Cricetulus griseus: one gene and its partner. The protein of the gene in region 2 purifies or fractionates together with the protein of the main gene of each other region. This does not show direct contact. Links are inferred from orthologs where the notes say so. Each region holds a gene or a part of one and is shown on either strand. Other genes may lie near its edges.

Evidence for each region. Proteins that work in one complex are often made in the same cells at the same time.
Region 1: the proteins of Nedd1 (region 2) and Tubgcp6 purify together in Homo sapiens (affinity purification with mass spectrometry; 3 studies listed by BioGRID and IntAct, with this or other methods). This does not show direct contact. The link is inferred for Cricetulus griseus from reciprocal best matches to the Homo sapiens genes NEDD1 and TUBGCP6.

Annotation. Positions count from the first base shown.
Region 1 is NC_048595.1:385,871,241-385,874,759, reverse strand, and holds part of Tubgcp6 (gamma-tubulin complex component 6), read left to right. Parts: intron 1-1,118; coding exon 1,119-1,329; intron 1,330-3,519. UniProt on the Homo sapiens protein: Component of the gamma-tubulin ring complex (gTuRC) which mediates microtubule nucleation.
Region 2 is NW_023276806.1:158,734,519-158,738,037, forward strand, and holds part of Nedd1 (protein NEDD1), read right to left. Parts: intron 826-3,519; coding exon 697-825; intron 1-696. UniProt on the Homo sapiens protein: Required for mitosis progression. Promotes the nucleation of microtubules from the spindle.

The DNA of each region.
Region 1 (3,519 bases), on a different chromosome or scaffold from region 2:
AGGAACTTTCCTACATGTGATCATAATTGCCCATTTGGATCCCTCAAGGGCTGGGCAGCTCCCTGCTATGTAGCTTAAATAGTGTTGGTAGTTGTCTTGTCTTTCAGGGGCTCCTTTGTCCTGTAACTTCACGCTAGGGTTTCGGTCCTGTCTTGCTTGTATAAAGCAAATCTTCTCCTTTCTACCAACCCCTTACATGTTGAAAAGTTGATCTTACAGCCTACTGCTTTGTTTGTAAATATTTACTAGTGTTATTCCATCTGTTAGCTTTTCGGTTATTGTTTGGGAGGTTACTTAACAGCTCATTTGTTATCATTGTGAACAAACTTCATCCTTTTGGTGTTCTTTGAAGCACAGGACTAGCCATATAGCTCCAGCACAAAGTAGTACTCTGTCAGTGTATCCTGCAAGGAGGACTATATTCCCAAAGTGGTGTTGTTTGAGACAGGGTCTTGCTGTGTTGCTCAGGCTAGTCTTAAATTCTTGAGCTTAAGGATTCTTCCTACCTCAGTCTCTCAAGTAGCTGGTACTGTAGACATTTCTGTCCCTGTCATCTAAGGAACTTTAATGTAGGGTCTTAAGATGAAGAGCACTACCAGTAATTGGGAGAGAGAATGGAAATACAGATTTGATCATTCACAGGCTTTGGGGTTATGTGCATACCCAGAGATTATTCATATAGAAATCAAGAAGTGGGGCTGGAGAGATGGCTCAGTGGTTAAGAGTACTGGCTGCTTTTCCAAGGGACCCAGATTCGATTCCCAGCACCTACATGGTGGGTGGTTCACAACCATCTGTAATTCCAGTTCCTGGGGAATCTGATCACCCTCCTCTAGCCTCAGCATGTACCAGGTATGCATATGGTACATAGACAGAAGTGCAAAGCAAAACACCATAGATACATAGAAAATAAAATAATAAAATATGCCATACATACACAACACACAAAAATAATCCACTCTGTATGAGTTGTGGCCTGTCCTTGTCCATCCATGACTGGGTACATGACCGCAGGGCATTTGCCTGAGAAACTATTGCAGCTGGGGGAAAACACACTTGTCATTTAAGGTCCATGCTGTCCCATCTATTCATCCTCTTCTCTTCTGTCTTCTTTACAGCCTCCCTGGTCACCGAGAGGAGCCCTACCTCACCGAGGCAGGGAGAGATGCCTTTGACAGGTTCTGCCGGCTATGTCATGGAGAGCTGCGGGCCCTCAGTGGGGGTTTACTCCAGGGCCCCAAGCCTGTGCTGGTGGAAGAAAGTGAGCTGGTGAAAGATTCACTGAATGTTCTGCTTGGTGTCGTTTCTGCTACATTTTCTTTTTGTCAGGTGAGAAGGGCTCCCAGCTATTGTGGGACCAACCTTGTATCCAATAGCCTGTACTCTCCTAGCATGCTCAGCATGCTTAGGGTAGGTTAAGGTCTAGTGTCATGAGTAGAAGAGAAGGCCAGCTCTGTGGGTTGATTAAAGGGGCTGGAGTGATGGCTCAGAGGTTAAGAGCACTGACTGCTCTTCCAGAGGTCCTGAGTTCAATTCCTAGCAACCACATGGTGGCTTACAACCATCCCTTATGAGATCTGGTGCCCTCTTCTGGTGTGTAGATATACATGGAAGCAGAATGATGTATATATAATAAATAAATAAAATCTTAAAAAAAAAAATAGCCACAAGTTAGGCCAGCGACAATTAGGCCAATATATAAGTAAATCAATGTTGGAATTCTTGCCAGCACGTGAGAGGCCCTGGCTTCAGTCCCCAGTACTGTAAAACAAAACAAGCATTCCGATTGGATTTTAAGAGTGTTAACTTATAGTAAGGCATGGTTGTGCATGCCTTTAATCTCAGCACTTGGGAGGCAGAGGCAGGCTGATCTCTGAGTTCAAAGCTAGTCTTGTCTAGAGAGTGAGTTTTAGGACAGTCAGGGCTACACAGAGAAACCCTGTCTTGAAAAACAAAAACAAAAACAAAAAAAAAAATCAAAAAGATTCATTCGTTTATTTTTTTATGTGTATGAGTTTCCTGTCTGCATGCATGTGTGTGCATGTGTACCTGGTACCTATGGGGGTCAGGAGAGGGTATTGGATTTCCCTGGAACTGGAGTTACAGATGGTTGTAAACTGCCATGTGGGTTCTGGGAACCTAATCCAGGTGCTCTGCAAGAGCAGTAAGTGCTCTTAACTGCTGAGCCATCTCTCCAGCCCTATTGGTTTTTTCTTAAACTCTCAAAACACATATGGCAGAATTTACTGGTGTACCCTATTAGGAGTTTGTCTACAGACTCAGTGTTCAACTTCTTGTAAGTAGATTTCTATTTTCTTAAGTCAGTTTTGTTACTTTATATGTTTCTAAGAAATTTTACATTTGATTTGGGCTATCTAATTTGACATGTAATTATTTTTGGTGTATGTTCCTAGGGATGGAACCCAGGGCCTGGCACATGCTAGTCAGTGCTCTACCACTGAGCCACATGCCAGTCTAGATTATTTCTTTTTTAATTGCATTTATTAACTTGGGAGGGGGGACAGGGACAGGGATATGTGTCACAGTGTGCATGTAGAGGCCAGAGAACAGCTTTTGGGAGTTGAATCTTTTCTTCTAACATATGAGTCCTTGAAATCAAACTCAGGTGGGTCAGGCTTGGTGGCAAGCAATTTTACCTGCTGTCTTAATTAGGTTTTCTATTGCTGTGATAAAGCACCATGACCACAAGCAACCTGGGGAGGAAAGGGTTTATTTGGCTTACACTTCCAGGTAATGTAGTGTGTCACTGAAGGAAGTCAGGGCAGGAACCTGGAGGCAAGAACTGAAGCATAAGCCATGGAGGAGTGCTGCTCTTACTAGCTTGCTCTCATGGCCTGCACAGCCTGCTTTCTTGTATCACCTAGGACCACCTGCCCAGGGATGCCACTGCCTTCAGTGACCTGGGCCCTCCCACATTAGTCATCAGTCAAGAAGATGCACCACAGGCTTGCCCACAGGCCAATCAGATGGGAACATTTTCTCAGTTGAGGTTCCCTTTTCAACAATGACCTTTGCCTGTGCCAAGTTGACATAAAAACTAACCAGTACACCTGCTGAGCCATATCACTGGCCCAGATTCTTTCTTGTTGCAATTGTTGTTGGGAGTTTTGTTTGTTTGTTTTGCTGCTGTTGATGAAACAGAGTTTCTCTGTGTGACAGTTCTGGATGTCCTGGAACTCATTTTGTAGACCAGGCTGGCCTCTGCACCTTTCTGAGAGAAGAGTCTCACTATGTAGGACAGGTTGGACTCAAGCTCACCATCTACCTGCTTGCTGGGATTACAGGAATGAGCACAATGTCCAGTTTATAATCTCTGTCTCTCTTGCTAGTTTGGGAAGTTTGAACTGTGTTTCTTTTTTGTTGTTGTTACTGTTTTTTTGTTTTGTTTTTGTTTTTTGGAGACTGGGTTTCTCTGTGTAGCTTTGGAGCCTGTCCTGGAACTTGCTCTATAGAGAGGCTGGCCCTGAACTCACGAAGATCCACCTGCCTCTGCTTCCT
Region 2 (3,519 bases):
CCGGAAAGTATGAATAATTTAACTGTCAAATTGTCCTCTAGATATTTGCCTGGATCACTGATGATACTGCTATTAGCAATGAACCCATTCCATTAAGGAATGTGAGCCTCAGTAGAACTAAAAAGCACAGCTGGACAATGACATACTGTGTCTATGCAGCAAGGTGACAACAGTTATTTTTAATAGTGACATCTACAGGGTGGTGGCAGAGATGATGTAATATACACATGAAACTATCATATACAAGTGCAAAAGAAGAGGCAATATATTACCCAGCCAGGAAAACACTGAATAAATTATCAAGTAAATACTAATAATCTTTATTTTTACATACCAAGCATCCAAGATTTTAGGGAGGTTTATTTGAAGCAGATACAAGTCAAAGATTGTTTATAATGGTAGAAACTCCTTTAAGAAATTCTGTTGGCACCTAAGCTCAGACACAGCAATTGCCCAACATACAGAAGACCTTGATGGGATCCCCAGGACAGGGGTTGGATCAATCTTTATGGAAATTAAAATACTATCTTAGGAGCCATGTCCAACAGCCAGCATTTGCATTAGCATGCTAATTTCCCACATATAGGGTACAGGAAAGATCCCACTCAGGAACTGAGAAAATGCACAAACCACTGTATGACTTAGACCCACACCTGAGAGCACCAAGACACCACACCCACTGACCTGAACACTTACCATCTCTGACTGGTGAGAACATGTCACCTAAGCTATTTTCCCCAGTATCATCAAAGTTGGAGAAATCTTGACTTCTTCCACCATCTGCTTCCTTAGATAAAATATCTGTATTTATGCTTCGATGCAAGCCTTGGGAGAATTGGATACAAAGATGAGTGTTGTAACATGCATCTAAGTAGCTACCATAAGAAGCTAGCATGCAAAAATGAATGTTACCCACACTGTGGCAATTTTTTAACTGAGTACTAAGAAAGGCAGCGGAATATGTCAGTGAAGGATTTTTCCATATAAACAGCTCTTTTCTTCACAGGAATCACTTCAGTAGAAAGTTTCTAAAATCATCAATATGCTTTTGCTGCCCTCTTTAAAGTACACTGAATACAATATATGTCTCTTATGCTTATGACTGCCTACAAATGACTAAGACAAATCTACGAGGCAAACAGCATGACAACTAAGGTACAATGTGAATCAGCTAACATTTATTCTCCAACTTGCAGAAAGCAGACCTCTTATCCCCATATAAAGTCTTCTGTCACCAAGAGTGGGAGCTTAACTTGACTCTCAGCATTCTCAAACTAATGGACTTACTAACTCACTTTATTACTAGCCATAAGGAAAAAAGAGTATCAGACTCATAAAGAACAGTGCAGTAGGCAACAGTAAAGGGTTTGCTAGTAAGTACATGACTTTAGAGCTAAGGCTTTGTGGGAGAAACCATAGATTAAGAACCATCTTGCTTGTGATAGGAGTGTGAGTTTCTGAGAGATGCAGCAACTGGGTGAACTCCAGCTCCTGGACTGGCAGCACACTGCTATATATTTTTAAAAGGAGCTTGACGGCACCTTGGTCTCAAATGGAAACTGAAAAGCCTAAAATGAACACACACAAAAAAAGACAACTGAATTTTCAAAGCTGACCAAGCCCAGCTAAAGAAATCAACTTAAAAGAAAAAAGCAACTGCTAGAAAATCAGAGCAGCTGTAGCTCACAACACTGACAGGTGTTTAGAGCAGTGGTTTCAGCCAGACACAGAGGCACAGCTATAAACCAGCACTGGGAGGCTATGGAGTCCAGGTTAGCTTGGGCTACATAGTGAGAGGATGAAAGGGAAGAATGTGGGCAGGGAGGAGCTTACTTCCTTTTTTCTAGGTTTTTAACTTTTTGAATGAACATCCTAGCCTTTGAAACAGAACAGAGGGCTAATATCATAGAAAAATAGTACTGAAGCCTTAATTTTCACTTGTTAAAAACTGTTATTTCCTACTTAAACTGAGGACCAGCAACAAGTCTACAGAGGCTCTTTTCAATAACTAAGTTGGATAACTCTAGTAGAAAGAAGAATTTTTAAAACTTTAGACTAATTGTAGATAAACTTCAAAGTAAGTCATCATCATGGTCATGATTGTGACTACACTATCACCAATACTATGGTTTACCAAGTGTCTCATGTGCCAGTTACAGATTCACCACCAACATATTGTTTATTGAGTGTCTCATGTGCCAGGCACTTGGGATACATCTTCTTGGACTGCCATAACCATCCTAATCATTAAACATTATCTTAGTGTATAAAGGGAAACCAATGAGACTATAGAGGTCAGGGCAGCTCAGTCACAACAGTGCTTGCCCTGCATCAGTAGAGGCTAAAGATGATCGCCAGACCACACAAGAAAAGAATAGCAGGGTGCCTGCAGTCCAAGCAATAGGGAAGCTAGCTGGCCAGCAAGCTTGGCAAGGTCCAAAACACAGAGAAACTCTTGACTCCAAACATAAAGTGGACAGTATCTAAGGAATGTGGCACCTAAAGCTGTCACCAGGCTCCCATGTGCATAGGCATGTGCACACACAGACACAGACACAGACACAGACACACACACACACACAGACAAGTAGGCCAAACACAGCTGTGTCTGTGAGACAGAGTAAGAAAACATGACTAGGACAAAGTGCTGACTGTCAAATGGCAGGCTCGGGAACTTACCACTATGCCTAAAACTTCTCTGTAAGTGGACAGTTACTTCAAAATAAACAGAAATCTGTTTGCCAGGACAAAGCAAAGACTTGCTTTGCCAGACAATTTGAGACTCTGTTAAGGCTGTCACTAATGGGTAACCCACCAGATACAAGCCTTAATTTGCTAGTGAGTGTGGTCATCCTTAAAGAACAACTATTTGTTAACAACGACATTCTAGTTCACAGCTTATAAACTACCATTTTAATCTTTTAAAGTTATGAATAAGAATTGCAGAATCATTTATGAAAATCATAGCAAATTTTCATAATACAGCTAAGTCAGCATTTTAGGAAACATTATTCAGTTATATTTCAAAAATAATTTCTTCTAATGCAACAGCCACAGTGTTTGTCTCCAAGTTCTTAAACATGAACCTAGTTACTTTCCTGTATGTTGTGACTATTCTATGAGAGCAACATATACCCTTCACAGTAAACTGATAATGAAAATAGTTATCCCCACACTATCAAAATCAACACATTTGATTTTGTCAAAGCATTGGTTTTGCTGCTATTTAGAAATAGTAAATTCATACCGAGAAGCAAGGACCTGTCTTGCAAGGTAAAAAGCAGGGTATAGGCATCACTACTGAGTGTAAGGTGCTTTTTGAGAAGGCAGGCTGTGGTCCTAGTTTCTACTCTTGGTGCAGTAAAGCCTCTCCTACACCACAGCTTTCTCTGACAGGAAGGAGTCAACAGGGTTATCAGAAGAGATCATCTATACACTATAAACTCCCAATTAACAAACTACTAGTTTAATGTATGCCAGGCATTTCCAAATATCTATCCTATCTCCTGACTTCTCATT